Linked DNA regions of Arabidopsis thaliana. The protein of the gene in region 1 interacts with the protein of each later gene in a pairwise test. Each region holds a gene or a part of one and is shown on either strand. Other genes may lie near its edges.

What was found. Proteins that work in one complex are often made in the same cells at the same time.
Region 2: the proteins of SLK2 (region 1) and MYB84 interact in a two-hybrid assay, tested with the Arabidopsis thaliana proteins (one large-scale study listed by BioGRID).

What each region holds. Positions count from the first base shown.
Region 1 is NC_003076.8:24,932,384-24,942,982, forward strand, and holds SLK2 (SEUSS-like 2), read right to left. Parts: upstream 6,857-10,599; 5' UTR 6,537-6,856; exon of another isoform or gene 6,240-6,536; 5' UTR 6,158-6,239; coding exon 5,234-6,157; intron 5,139-5,233; coding exon 5,007-5,138; intron 4,896-5,006; coding exon 4,847-4,895; intron 4,741-4,846; coding exon 4,526-4,740; intron 4,440-4,525; coding exon 4,371-4,439; intron 4,280-4,370; coding exon 4,179-4,279; intron 3,990-4,178; coding exon 3,896-3,989; intron 3,813-3,895; coding exon 3,743-3,812; intron 3,635-3,742; coding exon 2,838-3,634; 3' UTR 2,579-2,837; downstream 1-2,578. Other genes in the region: IQD23 (IQ-domain 23), read right to left, coding at 1-68; AT5G62080 (Bifunctional inhibitor/lipid-transfer protein/seed storage 2S albumin superfamily protein), read right to left, coding at 1,415-1,428, 1,744-2,017; BAG2 (BCL-2-associated athanogene 2), read left to right, coding at 8,094-8,274, 8,378-8,634, 8,730-8,876, 9,087-9,392; AT5G62110 (Homeodomain-like superfamily protein), read right to left, coding at 9,956-10,012, 10,533-10,599. UniProt on the Arabidopsis thaliana protein: Probable transcription regulator that functions in the development of the carpel margin meristem similarly to SEUSS (SEU).
Region 2 is NC_003074.8:18,423,821-18,430,483, forward strand, and holds MYB84 (myb domain protein 84), read left to right. Parts: upstream 1-3,914; 5' UTR 3,915-4,120; coding exon 4,121-4,256; intron 4,257-4,391; coding exon 4,392-4,521; intron 4,522-4,613; coding exon 4,614-5,280; 3' UTR 5,281-5,461; downstream 5,462-6,663. Other genes in the region: BCAT3 (branched-chain aminotransferase 3), read left to right, coding at 143-322, 428-559, 651-749, 827-943, 1,135-1,230, 1,333-1,445, 1,536-1,653. UniProt on the Arabidopsis thaliana protein: Transcription activator. Positively regulates axillary meristems (AMs) formation and development, especially during inflorescence.

The DNA.
Region 1 (10,599 bases):
TTATCTCTCGACGAAGCAGCTTTATCAGACTTTTTTTTACTCCCGAACAGTCTCCCGAAAAAGCCCATCTTTCATCGTCGGAAAATCGTCGGCGAGGTTTTGTCGGAGAGTTCTCCGGTTGATTAACACTTTATTTAATATCTGAGATTGTTTTTTGTGTTAGAGGAAAAACAAAACATAAACTTTTGTCTATAGAGAAGCTAAATAGAGTTTAACGGCTTATATATAGATTGCAGAGTACGTTTCCACGCGCCGGCATACAGCGAGTTAGTTACACGAGATTTTAAAAGGCTTTTTTATTTTTTGCTTAGCTTGACTTTATCTAAAGGGCGTCGGTTAAAGTCAATGGGCCTGACTAATCCTACCAACCGTACCAGATCTGTGCTTTGTGGTTTTGTTCAAACCATTTAATATCAATTACGTCATTTTTTATTTTATTTAACTTTTTCTGTAATGTGAATTGTGAAGTGAATATTAGATCTTTGAATTATGTAGAAAACGTATGAAAAATAAATAATGAAGAAAAGAGAATAATTGGGAGGACGTGTCATTCTTTGAAGCCCATAATTTCACTGCAGTCTAGTGTCTGTGACTTCTGCAATTTGGCAGCTTTTTTCTTTGCTTCAATCCAATACAATGACTGCAAACTTTACAAATGTGTATGGAATATGTTTTTGAAATCAGAAATATATTTTGTGTGGATGATAGGTGTTTATCTTTTATCCAGGCCATACAAATGTTACATAGGTTGTTATTCTGGTGGCACAATTCAAATTCTTCTTGTACTTCAAATTCTATAAAGAGAAGTTGTTAATCACTAGCTAGATTAACCCCTCGATTTTGAAAGGTGTTGTTTTCTTCGTTTATTCATCTATCTATTTGTTTAGTTATCTATATTTTACTGTTCAGTAGGATGCAGTTTAGAAGTAAGTCTACGAAAAAGGAAAACAAATAGGGAACATTCGAAAATAAAGACTAGCTGTGATAACGATCGTCTATAACCACTAATAAATACTATCCTCCTCAAGTCGTATTCAGCAACAAGCACTAGAGGGGTCAGGTGCAATTTTTAGACTTTCTAGCTTTTAAACAAACATTGTTAGCTTGGCAACAATGAAAACTAACATGATTTTCCATGCATATTAAACAAGTCACTAATCTAATTTATTTCTGATGTCTAGACTTACGTACGTACATGTTTAAGAATAATTTGGTTTCAGACCGGGAATGTTTTATTCTCATAATTATCAAAGCTTTTTATTATACTAGTAGTATCTAAATTTCTAAGCAAAACTACTAGAACTTTATTATAGTAAAGCAGAAGTTAGAAGAAAAAACATAAGACTGGAATATTTCTCATTATTCTTTATTTTCCCGTTTTCCTTGATCATCTTGGAATTGACTCGTAGCTTAACTAAGCATTTATACCTGCACAACCCAAAAACAAAACAAACAAAAAAACAAAAAAACCTCAGAAACAGATATGAAATAGAGGTCTATATATCATTAAATAAACACATTACTACATTAGCCGAGTTAGCTAGAGCTGATATATGAGGTTTTATCCTACTTAATCTACTTGGAATCTTAGGCCAAGTCTTTTTGGTTTGGCCATATATTAGGCCAAGTCTAAAATGTTGGTAACTAAAACTAAATATATATTGAGATTTGTTTTATTCATCCTCATCTTGGGATAACGAGCCAAATATCAAACTTCTTGGTTAAAAGTAAATAAATCCGTACCACAATCCACAGGAGGAAGGTTACAAAGCGAAGGAAGAGAGGTGGCTGCACGGAGAGCGTTGCATAGACAATCTCTATTAGTAGATTGAAGTGCGGCGCAACACTCTGAATTTGGTCTGCCTGAACCGGGCAGCACCATGGCGGCGCATACCTGCACATTTGCTAGATCGTTGCCACATTCTTGGGCTTGAACTACCGTTTCTATAGCAGTCATGGCAAGAAAAAGGACACTGAGAACGGCTGCGAAAGACTTGAACGATGCCATTATTGCCATGGATAAGTTTGTTTCTATAGATATCTGATGTAGTTCTATGTATATGATATCATATGTTTAGATTTATCATTTATATAATGTTTTGAGTGTATATTTTGAGTGATTAATTAGATGAGTTGAGGAGACGTTTGGCATGGTCACATGGTCTAGTTAGTTCACAAGATTTACATGTGAAAGTAAATCACTCTGTTCTCTATCCACCACGCTGAGTGCAAGGTTTTTTTATTTATTTATTTTATTCTTTAGTGCAAAGCAAAAATATTTCATATACAAAATTATGTAATATATGAAATTAACTATGGTAAAAGGAGTTGACAAATTATCTCTTGTAGATAGTAGGATGGTTGGTATATTGAAGATGAAAAGTATTACTGTATTAGTGCAAGTAGATGAAGATTACATATCCGTATTTGTGGAATTTTGTATGATTTAAAATCACGTCACAAATACATTTTATTAAAATTTCAGAGAAAAAAATAGCATGTGTCTGGCTTGTTTGTGACGTGTTACCGATGTTTGTAACTGTATCAGCTTTAAATAAACGAGGCTTAAAAAAAGTCATAAGAAAAAAGGTAAAATATTGATTGATAGCGATGAGTTCCTGAAGAACAGTCTTTTTTCTTTTCCAGAATTAGTAACACTTTCCAGAAAAACCTCTTCATAAAAAGAGAAGCTTTAATCTAAGAAGAAGAAAGAACAACAACACAGTAGACACGTTAACATTGAATCCCCCTCATCAGATTCATATACCTAAGAAAGTTAGTCTTTAGTAACTCGTTCTTTACAAAGACAACATTGGAGCTAACTATCAAAATGCCTCTCATGACTTCCAAGAATATCCTCCCATGCTTTCATCAACCTCATTGCTAAAAACCCCGTTATTCCCAAAGTTGAGCGATGTATTAGAGATAATACCTTCCAGGTTTTGGCTTTGGTCTAACCCCTTGATGCCTCTGAATCTGTTGGAGGTGCTTGGTGTTTCAGCTGCTGCGGGAACATAATCTGTTCTGTTTCTTCCCATGTTGGTATTGCAATTCATCATGTTCTGACCAGAAAGTGACTGTTGTTGTTGACCGGAGCCTCCATTGCTGTTTGCCATCTGTTGCCATATTTGATGAATCATTTGTTGTTCCAATGTTTGGTTACCGCTACTACAGGAAGGTGGCTGTTGGTGGTATTGCTGGGTTGAGCCATTATAACTGGAGCTTGGCATTTGCCGCTGAGGAGATAGATGGGAAGATACACCACTTATTGATGGGCTATGCACAAAACCAGGTAACAAGGGACTAGTTCCTTGATAGCTCGGGGATGCACTCCGGTTTCTTGATGGTTCTTGCTGGATTGTGGTGTTGTTTAGGTCTGAATTCAGATGGTTTTGTTTCATGAGCATGCTCTGGTAGTTGGTAAGCGCAAAAGCGGCAGCTTGTGCAGAGCCGGGAAGAGATCCTTGACCGCTCATGTTGTTCATTGGTATGTTTATCCCGGAATTGCGCAAGGCCATTAGCTTGTTGAGACTGTTCCTATCAGGTGGAAGCCCTCGGGCAGCCGCTAGTTGCTCCATCTCCTGCATCTGAGGTTTACCAGCCTTCATTCGATATGGATAGCTCTTCAAAGCCTCTGCAAATGTTAAAAGGTAGCAAGAAAGCTTTTTATAAGCACAGCCAAGTAAAAAAAAAGCGTTTTGATGAATCTCAGGGACTCTCTGGGATTTATGTATTAACTTACCGATTGGACCCACTTTTTGGTCACGGCAAAAGTCAATCATATCTTTCATGCTGCTGACAACCTCAGAAATCTGTTTAAAGAAGATGGCAAGAGTTAAACAGTAAAAAGGAGACACGCCACCAGGAAAATGCAAGAAAGTAGGCAGAGAGATACCTGCAGACACCGAACATATCGTTTTGAGAAGCCTAAGTCATTGAGTGAATGTGACTCCAAGCTTTTTGCTAGTTGACGTCCAGCAGCCATGACCCTGGAGCAAAAGACTTGGCATCAGTACATCATATTTGTATATATTAAGCTAAAATCGCTTTGATCTTCTTTGCATCAGTGAAAAATCTTACCTAATTACCGTACAAGATGCAAGAAACAATGAAATTGAATTGATTGAGAAATATGGAAGAAAGAGAGTGAAATATTGTCTAGAATCATCAAGACTCACATGTTGCTATTAGCTTGCAAATCTTGTTGATGAATCCCATCTGATCCACTTTGATCAATTGTGCTCTGACATTTCTCTGCAACCTGAAGCAATTGGTTCACCTGCACGACCATAGGGAGCAGACATTCAAAAAATCTCAAGACCAGGGATTTCAAAAAGAGTCACAAAGATTGTAAGAACCATTAATGTTACCTGTGGAGCTACTAGGCGACGAGGAAGTAGTTCTTCATGTCGACGAGTACAGAACTCCCATGAGAGAATCTGGCAAAAGGAAAAAGGATAAGCTAAGTTACTTTAATACACATTAATGATTAAAAGTATTTGGAATCAAAAGCTCTTTAAACCACCTTCAGCTCTTGGGAGAATATAATCCGAAGATGGCCTTCGCGAACAACACGGATATGTTCGTACACACTCTCCTGAACTGCTTTTCCATACTCTAACACCATAATTCCAGATCCATATCTGCGTTCAGACGGTACACCCAGATAAAGAAGCTCGTCCAGGACACCACTTGCGAATTTGATTTCGTTAAGCCTTGGCAAGACATCAAAAGTTGCTTCTGCAGAATCCATAAGAAAAAGTTACTAAGAGAAGATGTTTTGCTACCATAAACATTTTTGAAATTTCCCTCTTCTTCATCAGGGTATAAGCAAATTGGAACTTACCAAATCCTCTTCCCGATTTAGAACCACATAGATCACACTGCCATTCATCCTGCAAATGGAAAATACAAAAAGCAAGAATAAGTAACCTATTTGTAACTACACCGTAAGATCAGCATAAAGAGTATGAAACCAAAAAAAACAAAGAGTCAGGGAAACAAACCGTGGCTGCCTGAGGAGAAACACCAAGTGCACTATGCCCCACATTATCATAATGAGAAAGACACCATCTTTTCTTTGCCCGGGGAGAAAAATACTCCGTCACAAATTTCCTCCAGTAAACAATACTGCTCTCCTACAAAATCAGCAATGACACGACTGGTATCTGTCAAGAGCTTTTTTCTAGAATACACATAAAACAAAAAATTTGACGACTACATGCACACTCACAGAAGGCCTTTGTCGCTGATGATATAGGTACTGCATCAATCTTCGAGCGCAAACGCTATTTTCATAAGGTCTTGGCCCACCGGTTAGTTGCATTTGCATTCCTTGTTGTTGCAACTGTTGCTGTTGCTGTTGGTGCTGCTGCTGCAACTGTTGCTGTTGCTGCACTTGTTGCTGCTGCTGCAGTTGAACCCGTTGCAATGGTGGGAGGGACTGGAGATATTGTTGCTGTTGCCTCAGCTTTTGTTGCTGAAGCAAGATTTGGAACTGTGGATTTTGGCCTTGTTGTTGTTGTTGCTGCTGCTGCTGCAATATATCCTGTCTCTGAAGCCACTGACGTAAAATCTGCTGCTGCAAAGCATCATCCTGCTTTGAATCTAATCTAGGTTTTTTCCGTGCTTGAGTTAAGTTGTTTGGATCCTGAAAGAACGATTCAGAAGCACGCCGAGCCATAGAAAGCGGGATTTGATTAGTTTGTGATGTAGGCAGTGATGTAGCACTAGAGCCACCTAGCTGAACACTAGGATCATGCCGTTGTACCACAGTCGACCCATCTACAACTGATGAACCAGATATGCTGATATTATTAGAAGAGAACGACATAGGAGACGCCGGTAAACGCATATATGACTCATTATTGATACTAGCACTACGCTGCAAATGAGGACCACCTCCAGAGAGCCCTGAATTAGCATCTGTGACAAGCGAACTAGCTCCTGCGCTTGGACCGGGTGTTGAAACACTCATCATAACCGGATTATGCATATCACCAGAAACCATACTGAGATTGTGATAGCCACCAGTAGGTCCACCACATCCAGGAGCAGAGTTAGATGAATTCCCATAAGAGGAAGTCAAGTGAGAGTTAATGAAGCTTTGAGATTCATCATCTCCTTGAAAGAAAATCCCAGAAGTTGAAGAAGCCATTAAAGGGTAGGTCCCAAGTGAGTCTGAAATCCAAAGTTTCTTCCTCAATGCGACACAAATGTCCCACCTTTACTACTGATACCTACAACATTATACATGTATCGATTAAAATCAGATCAATAACATTCCCTAACACATGAATCTGGTGCGTTATTAAAGATACACAGACATTGAACTTAACCACTGAAATAAAAAAAAAACCAAATCAAAACCCTAATTTTAAAGTTCGTTACTTAACATAACTAACCGAGAAACTAACCAATCCCCAAAAAAAAAAAAAATAGATAGCAATCCCTTAAAAATCTCGGAGTTAGATATTTAAAAAGCAACCGAAATTAAATTACAAAATAAAAAAGCGAAGAACACGGAAACAACGTACGAAGAACTGTTAAGTGGAGCTTCGATCAATATAGAACAAAAGCTGAGAGATCACAACTAGAAATTAAAACTAAACCCAGCTGAATTGAAACAGAAGAAGAGGAAGATAATTAATGAGACAAGAAGAAGAAGAAGAAGAAGGAAAAAAATTTGCCTGGAAATTTCAAGCTGTAATATAAAGTTAAAATAAACAATCTTCTTATTTATTTTGTGTTTGTTGTTTTTGCATAAAAAAAAGGAAAATCCTGGAGAGAGCTGGAACTAGGCAATGAACTTGACGCGCCTTTGTTAATATACCTAGAGGAAATCGTAAGAACCAAATCTGACCGGACAAGCCGGTGACCCATCTGCTTATGGTTTTGCAAGTACTTTTTATTACCCGCTAGTCAATACTGACACGTGTCTTGTTTATCGTAACAAGTATCGTATGACCGATTGGTAACCTTTAGCTGTTTTGATTGCGTGGCATATTCTTGACCTTGCGATCAATAAAGTTAAATCAATTGTGGATCGTTCGATTGAGAGCATGGATCGTGTGCGACGCGTGTAGTTTAAAGTTGATTGACCAAATTATGTTTTTTATTTTATTTTTTTGTAATAACTGTACCAATGATTGCAGCTGTAAATGAGTGGGCTTACGACAAATATCCTCTTTTTTGCATGATTACTTATTGACCCCAATATTACTCCCTTTGACAATTCAACCCCTAAAATATTTCGACAAGATCATCCAACTATATGGAGCTACGACCCAACAGGCCTATTTCAGTATTTTTAGGCCCATTATTAGCCCATAAATAATTATACTCTGTTCTCCAACCGTTCAAAGCTCTGTTCTCGAACAGTCTTGAGGTCAAACCTAACCGGTGTCTCTGTCTCTAAAGCACTAGCTTGTTCAAGAAATGATCAAAGAAAGCTCGTGTGTGGTCCGTACGGTCCATGGATCATTCAAAACTTGGCAAGAAGACACACAACACCGACGATAATTCTAGACAATGTGGATCTGCAAGAAAGAGAGATTTTTAAGTTGCAGAGTTTGTCGGAGTTAAAGGCGTGACGTGTAACACAAGTTTCTGTTTCAGTTATTTCATTAGCTTACCTGTACTTAGAAACGTAGAACACGACTTATAAAATACAGAAGAACGATGACAAATAAATATAAATGTAACAACGACATTAATATATCGTCATTATTTATCAGAAATAGAAATAAATATGTGGGGGATACAACATTTATATTAAATATATGTATCTGTGATGGACTGATAATGAGACATAACAACAATCACATTAGCTGTCACTCTTTTCTTTAACTTTTTTTTCTCATTGTATAAAATTTTATAAAACAATAATCTGCTTTATATGATTCTTATCTTTCTTCTTCTTCCACGAGTTCTGTCCAGAAACAGAAACATTAATTTATTACAAAACAAAGTGTATTTACTTCTCTTTGCTCAGACGTTTCTTTTTTCTTCTTCTTCTTCTTGATCTTTTTCAGAAATCAACTTCATCTCATCATTCCTCTGTTTTTTTCTCTCTATCTCTCTTAATAAAGAAAATGATGAAAATGAGTATCGGAACAACAACTTCCGGCGACGGTGAAATGGAGCTCCGACCTGGAGGAATGGTTGTACAGAAAAGGACGGATCATAGCTCAAGCGTGCCACGTGGCATTCGGGTTCGGGTCAAATACGGGTCGGTCCATCACGAGATCAGTATCAACTCTCAATCTACTTTCGGTAAACGACACAAAACATTCCGAGTTATACAGTATTTCCTTTATACTATTAGTATGCTCTGTTTTTGGAATTTGATTGTTGTTGTTGTTGAATTTAACAACAGGGGAATTAAAGAAGATATTGTCTGGTGCGACAGGAGTTCATCATCAAGACATGCAGATTATATACAAAGACAAAGAAAGAGACTCAAAGATGTTTCTTGATCTTTCTGGTGTCAAAGATCGTTCGAAACTTATTCTTATAGAAGATCCCATTTCTCAGGAGAAACGTCTCCTTGAGTTGAGGAAAATCGCCACCAAAGAGAAATCATCTAAAGCAATCTCTGATATTAGTTTCCAAGTCGAAAGACTCGCCGGACAAGTAACTTAAGAAACATAATTTTAAATTTTCCGGATAACAACGCTCTTGTCTCGTAACTTGAATCAGAATTGTTTTTTTTGGTTTTTGGACTTTAGCTGTCGGCGTTTGATACAGTGATTGGTAAAGGAGGGAAAGTTGAAGAGAAGAATCTTGAGAATTTGATGGAGATGTTGATGAATCAATTGGTCAAGCTCGATGCCATCTCAGGTGATGGAGACGTTAAATTGAAGAAGAAGATGCAGGTACTTAAATCATGTTTTATTACTCACTGTTACTAATCTAATTCTTCATTTTACTTAGAATTCTAGATGACACAACTCTATTAATTTTTATTCATAAATTTGCAGAATTATGGAACCATTCTATAAGTAATTACCAATCATACCCATAAAGTCTTGTTATTCAAGTTTTTGAAGTCGCTTTGACAATTATTATTTTTTATGTATAGTTAGAATCTAATGATTCGATTTACAAATTGTTGGAAGGAGGAAAGATTACACAAGTATGTTGAGGCTCTCGACTTGTTGAAGATCAAGAACTCAAGGCAACCGCAAACGAAACCAAAGCCGCAATACAAGGAACGGGAAATGCTGACATTTTACGAGGAGGCGTCAAGGAAACCGACGGCCTCCTCATCAAGTCCTCCGGTGATCATAACAACAAGATGGGAAACGTTTGATTCTAGTTCAGCCTCCACGGCAACCCTACAACCCGTTAGACCGGTTCACCCAAAATTTAAATGGGAATTATTCAATTAATATCTAGATATTAATTACACGATAATATAATATACTATACTTAGTTTTCAGATTTATTGTAAGGTGTAACATATGTGATTATTTTTGTCTAGTTGTATATGATTTGTGATTGGTCGTTTATGTTACATTATCAAATTTTGTTGTTGTGATATACTAAAAACAATGTAGTATTTACTATTTAAAAGAAAATATGTGGATTAAAAAAAGTATGCGAGTAGATGGCAAAAGGGAGAGAACGAAGGTTTTGAAATGATTAAAATAAACTGTTAAGAGTTGTAGCATTTTATTTTAAATATAAAAATAAAATTTGGTTTACGATTCCAAACATATATCTACAAATGCAATCATTCAATCAGTGATATGCATGTAAACATCTACGAAATTCACAAATTACTTAAATAGCATCCAAATTGAATATGAGTCATGATGACAAAAACAACGTCAAAAATTGAAAACAATCTTAAACCAAAACAACATCCAAATTTTAAATAAAATCTTAAACAACATAACAAAGTTATCAAATATTAATCTGATACTTTCAAAAGCAAAATTAAAAGATTTTCTTAAAACATGTCGTCAACATCCAGCATAAAGTTCATGAGGCCATCATCCTTCCAATCCTGTATCAGAAAACATAAACTAGTAAATGAATTTGCTATAAGAAATTAGATCTAGTACACACGTGACATTTCATAGACTACAAATACTATTAGACTCTTTATATTTCTATAATTGATATAAAAATGAAAATATGGCATCGGTGTATCATTATAGTTTTTTTTCTCAAAAAGTAAGAATTTTCTAGGATTCAATAAATTTTGATGAGAACTATAACCAAAATTAACTTTATTAAAGTAGAATTGTAAAAGTTTAAATACATCATCAAATGGCAATGAAACATCTATCAAATCTGCACCACATTGTTCCTCCTATGCAATTAATATTCAAACATCAATTATTTGCTATATCATTGTATATATATCAAACCAATTTCGATAAATTACGTAGACTTCAATAAAACCATATTTTTTATATCAATCGTTTGTAAGTATATTTCAAAACTCAAAATTACGTAGACTTCAATAAAACTAGAATACAACTTATAACTAAAATTATTATTGTAAAAATTTAAAAGATTACCTGATCAAATGTCAATGGAACATCAGTCAAATCTGTAACACCTTGTTCAGGAACATCAGTCAAAATC
Region 2 (6,663 bases), on another chromosome or scaffold:
TTTATTTACTGAATGTATATTCATATATTGCACGGAGAAATCTTCTTATATTGTAAGTGATGATGAGAAATGCCAAGCAATGTGTTGTGGTAAAGAGTGCAATTTAGGATCACATGAGTCTTATTAGTGTATGTTCTTCTAGGGATTGTTTGAAGGGCTAAAAGCTTACAGAAAGAAAGATGGTAATAACATCCTCCTCTTTCGTCCTGAGGAGAATGCAAAGCGTATGAGAAATGGTGCTGAGAGGATGTGTATGCCTGCTCCAACCGTTGAGCAGTTTGTAGAAGCTGTGACAGAAACTGTACTAGCAAACAAACGTTGGGTAATGAATCACGCAGTTTTTTTTGTCTCCCGATATGCAGAGGAAATTATCTAGATATTTGTTTGCTGTTATGAATTTAACTTGTGTTTGGTGTCTTGTTTTTAGGTTCCACCACCAGGTAAAGGTTCCTTATATGTTAGACCATTGCTAATGGGAACAGGAGCTGTTCTTGGTCTTGCGCCTGCACCAGAATATACTTTCATTATCTATGTTTCGCCTGTTGGGAACTACTTCAAGGTCTTTCAGAGTTACTTCGATCTATTCCAACTATCTAAGATTTGTTGTATGTTTCTCTGAATGATGATACGGATTTATATGATGATGTCAGGAAGGTGTGGCACCTATCAATTTGATTGTGGAGAATGAATTTCACCGTGCAACTCCTGGTGGTACCGGAGGTGTTAAAACCATAGGCAATTATGCTGCAGTAAGTAAAAGCTTATTTCACTTATTGATTTTATTGGACCAGCTTTCGTAACTCACACATACAAGTTATTTATTTAGGTACTGAAGGCACAGTCAATTGCGAAAGCTAAAGGATATTCCGATGTTTTGTACCTTGATTGCATTTACAAAAGATATCTTGAGGAGGTCTCGTCTTGCAATATTTTCATCGTGAAGGTAAATAAAAATCAATCTCTCGGAATCTGATGATGCCTTGTAGAGTCTATAAGATGTCTCTCTTCATAAGACGTAGGAGATGATGAGATTGAGACTCTGGCACCATGTTTTTTTGGGGGCATTCTTACAAACATATCAAGATACTGATTCTCTTACATAATGATTTTTTAACCAACACTTTTCTTTGCCAGGACAATGTGATATCTACTCCTGAAATAAAAGGAACCATTTTACCCGGTATTACTCGAAAAAGTATGATAGACGTGGCTCGAACACAAGGGTTTCAGGTGACCTCTTCCCCTTCTTTAAATTCCCAACATCTTTAAAGTGGATCATAAGTACTATTATTGGCTTCTGATCACAGTGCATGTTTATACGGTATTGTTCAGGTGGAGGAACGGAATGTGACAGTGGATGAATTGTTAGAAGCAGACGAGGTTTTCTGCACAGGAACCGCCGTGGTTGTCTCTCCTGTTGGAAGCGTCACTTACAAAGGCAAAAGGTAAAACGTTTTTTCTTTGTATCCCAATTTAAGTGAAAACCAAACCTACCAAGTGGTAAAGCTTTCCCCTTTTTCCGAATACACACACAGAGTGTCTTACGGAGAAGGTACCTTCGGAACTGTGTCGAAGCAACTCTACACCGTTCTGACAAGCTTGCAGATGGGTCTGATTGAAGACAACATGAAATGGACTGTGAATCTTAGTTAAGCCAGGCGAATGCATTGCATCAATTCGGCTGCTTGGTTTTGCTTTCTTTTCTTTGGTCTGTGGTTCTGATTCGTGAAACTATGAGTTGGATTGTTTAGAATCTGGTTGATCTAGAACTTAGCTGGTTCAAGATCATTAGATGTTGTTGCATCATACCAATAATATTATCTTTAGATCTCTGTTTCTGATTAGATGGTTACATCCAATTATTTCTCTAAAGTCTGAGACATCATTGATATCTAACAATCAAAAACTAAAAAGTGAAGTATTAACATTTTAATCAGATTCAAACCAGAACTTATCAGTCATCAAAAATGTTGGCAAATAACAAATCAAACTTAAGTTTTTGGATGGAGAAAGCAAGCTAGATTCGAATCTCTAAGAAGCGTGGACTTGGACTTGTTTACGACCTGAAAAGATGTCATGATTATCTCATGATTACGAGATAATAACATGTCTTATCTACTAAACTAATCTAAAAAGTAGTGAGGATGACTTGAAACTTAAGTCTTATATGAATTATCTTTAAATATAGAAAAAGAAAGGAGATAGAGAGGTGTGTTTTTCATGTGAACAACTTTTTTTTACCTTTAGAGTACTTCCAGAAGACTTATTGGGTCCTTAATAAAAGTAGACCAAATTATTGAAGAGCTAAAAAAAAATGCCTACTCAAAATATCCAAACCTCTTCTTTTAGCCTTTTGTTTTTTTCAATATTCATACTAATGTAAACTACAATCATTGTATCATTCTATAATCATATGAATTTTTTGTCAACACCATGCATTATGCTAGTTTAAATTTAGGTGATGATATAAAGATATTTTAAGTACAAATCAATAGGGGCGATGTTCTTATGTCTTTATCTAACTTTATGAATTTGTGTTTTATATATTATGAAAAATTGGAAAAGAAGAGATGGCCTACGCTCAAGACCAATTCCTACCAATGGGCAATGGTGTTGAAATCTGAACAAAAAAATTTCCTTTCTTTAACGTTAGCTTTAAAGTTCAAAAAACTTTATTTACTTTTTCAGTGATAATTCTGTATAAAATAACATATAACAATGAGGAAAAAACTCAATAATTTGAATCGCTTATGACTTTATTTCTCCAAGTGCTTGACTTTTAAAACCCTAATGTCCAATCTCAACTAAAGTCAACCTTTTTCGTTCGTCTAGAAGAGTCAGTCATTAAGTTTCAATTGAAGTATACAGTAAATTATTAGTACTTTTTATTTTATTTTAACCACAGTTCATTGGCTGTATGAGATTTCTGTTCAAGAAAACATATAAATCGAAACCAAAGCAAAAGACATTATTTGCTTCGGTTTCTTCTACTCAAGCTCATTTTTAGTAAAACTAAATTGTATTTTCATTTTCTTAAAAAGTTAATTGTTTTTTTTGTAAAATCAGTTTTACCAAATTGGACACAATAATGAATATATGTCTATGTCTAGTTTTTTTTAGCTCAGAATATATCTTATGTGAATAGAATCGTCTATCAGATATTTTTGTGATGCAGATAGAACTTACCGTTATAGAATCATTTGTAGATTGTTCATCGTGATTGTTAAGATTAGATTCCCATTTGTAATATAACAGAAACTCGAAAAGTACTTATATTAAGTATTAACGATGTATCATGTGACCAAAATAGAAAATACTACGTAATGATATGATTATTAAGCGAGTGTGTAGGTAATTCAAATATTTCAATTAATCAATCTTTGATATCACTCTTTAGAGTAATGTATTATCTTTCTTATTGTTTTACCCTGGGATTAATAAGTTTACCGGATCCGGAGTAGAATTTCTTCGGTTTGGCAATTTTGTTCACCTACCATAACGAACTTTTACCCTTATACTTAGTTTCAATCTACTTTTGGTGCATCCTTTCATTTTCAACTGCAAAGAAGTAGTTAAAAGATCCAATACATAATATATTTAATTTATCATAAGTAACTTAGTGTAAAGAAAGACTAAAGTACTTTTTAAAATATGTATTTGTATTTCCCGATGTGAAAGAAAAGAAAATTGAATTTGCACATATCAATAATATTAGCTAGGAAAAAACTTGTGAGAAATTTCTTTGACGACTTGCGTGTGCAATAGTCTTCCTTATCTTCTCTACCATTTCTTAATTCCACTATTGTATAGTATTTACTTATGTTGAATTAATAAATTAAAACATTTAAATTTCCCTAAAGTTACTTTTTGATTTTTGATTTTCTATTTTTATTACAACTTTCCTACTTTTTGACATCTTTTCTTACAAAGACTTTTTGACATCTCCCCCTCCAGCTATTATATAGTCTCCTTTTTTCTTTTCTGCATTCACATAATATTTCCCCTATATAGTTTACACAACATCATACCCACCAACATATATAATCTTGATCATAGAGAGATAAACAGAGGCCGCTATCAAGAACAAGACTAAGAACAAGACTTCACTAGGAGTACAAGTATGGGAAGAGCACCGTGTTGTGACAAAGCAAACGTGAAGAAAGGGCCTTGGTCTCCTGAGGAAGATGCAAAACTCAAATCTTACATTGAAAATAGTGGCACCGGAGGCAATTGGATCGCTTTGCCTCAAAAGATTGGTATTAATAAATTTATAGTCACTCTTTTTCATATAAATTTGATAATTCTCTCTTGATCTATCTCTTTTTTTGTGAAGAAGTATTGATAACTAAAGATGCTTTTTGTTTATATGATTATTTCTTGGTTGTTTTAAGGTTTAAAGAGATGTGGAAAGAGTTGCAGGCTGAGGTGGCTTAACTATCTTAGACCAAACATCAAACATGGTGGCTTCTCTGAGGAAGAAGAAAACATCATTTGTAGCCTTTACCTTACAATTGGTAGCAGGTACTATTCATATACGTTATTCATGTATATATCGTTAAAATATCATGTGGAAACTCTGAAATATAGTTATGTGATGATGTCTATAATTAAAGGTGGTCTATAATCGCTGCTCAATTGCCGGGACGAACAGACAACGATATAAAAAACTATTGGAACACGAGGCTCAAGAAGAAACTCATTAACAAACAACGCAAGGAGCTTCAAGAAGCTTGTATGGAGCAGCAAGAGATGATGGTGATGATGAAGAGACAACACCAACAACAACAAATCCAAACTTCTTTTATGATGAGACAAGACCAAACAATGTTCACATGGCCACTACATCATCATAATGTTCAAGTTCCAGCTCTTTTCATGAATCAAACCAACTCGTTTTGCGACCAAGAAGATGTTAAGCCAGTGCTCATCAAGAACATGGTCAAGATCGAAGATCAAGAACTGGAGAAAACAAACCCTCATCATCATCAAGATTCAATGACAAACGCTTTTGATCATCTCTCTTTCTCTCAACTCTTGTTAGATCCTAATCATAACCACTTAGGATCAGGCGAGGGTTTCTCCATGAACTCTATCTTGAGCGCCAACACAAACTCTCCATTGCTTAATACAAGTAATGATAATCAGTGGTTCGGGAATTTCCAGGCCGAAACCGTAAACTTGTTCTCAGGAGCCTCCACAAGTACTTCGGCAGATCAAAGCACTATAAGTTGGGAAGACATAAGCTCTCTTGTTTATTCTGATTCAAAGCAATTTTTTTAATTATAATAATATATTATTCTTAAGATGAAACGTACATCATTATTATTAATTGGGGGTACGTAACGTATATATGGAATAACGATCTAGTTTGTTTAAATTTATTGATATCTCATATATCTGGATTTGAAATTAACTCTAATATGCAGAAGTATGAACTCATATGCGAAAGATCCTAGCGAAGTAATCACATTTAGATAAACAAAATTTGTTATTGTTACTTTTTTTTTTTTTTTTAAAGTAAGAACGTGTAATATGCATGTATGTATATATGTATGGATGCCTATGTGAAAAGAGTTAACACTTAAGAGTATATTGTGCATGATGTGTTACGTTTCCATTATGTATACAATATGATAATACATAAATTTACACGCATAATATACCTATTGGGCGCAAAGTTATACACATTTTAAAATGGGAAAATATTAATGGTGCTTTTGGGGCCTTGGCATATGAGCTGATTATATATGGTCGGATCCATATGTACGTGGTTGGATGTATTGATTGTATATATGCTTCTTTAATTGATTGTATGTTCATCCTACTTTTTCGAATAATTTATGTTTACCTCAATGTCGGATTGTGCGAAGCATTTAGCTGGAAACCATTGATGTTAATAATAAGTAAGAATTAACATAGATGGATTTATAAGGATATAAGAATTAATACCTAACCATTTGACCAATGAAAAGTTTGGATCACCAAATAAATGAATTGTGTGCAACTCTGAACTTCTCAAAGACATGACCTCTCTATTCCTAGCAAGTCACTAGTCTGTTTCTTATTTCCTCACAGAATCAAATGATGATGTCATACGAAAATTCTCTTTCCCTTACGAGTTTGGCACATTCGTTGCCTATTCAAAAATCAAATCAAATTTAGAAAGTCCTAAAATGACACTGTCGCTTGAAATATACGTATAAAAACTCTCGCTTCAAAAAATCTTTTGTTGATCAAACAATCCATTCAGTACTAGCTAGAAGGCTAGTTAGAAGTAGACTAGACTTCACGGTTCAATTAGATATTATCTTTGATCTTCATATATTCATGACTCATGAGATGATATAGGACAAATGAGATGATATATAGAATTATAGATAACGATTTCAAAGAGTATTACAAAAACAAATGCATCATTTTTTTCTTCTTAAGAGTATTACAAAAGTACTCTCTGAAAGACAAGAATGTTCCAAAACATTCTCTTCAAACAGCAAAATGACAAACATAATTATTCAATTTTTTTTGCCGTTAATTTAATATTCCTAAATCACTCACCAAAATTTCACTAATTAAATAGTAAATATCATATCCTTTTATCACAATCAAGAACCTTATTAAATGCTTTTTACTTGTATATATGAATGTAGCTGAAAGTTTCAAAGT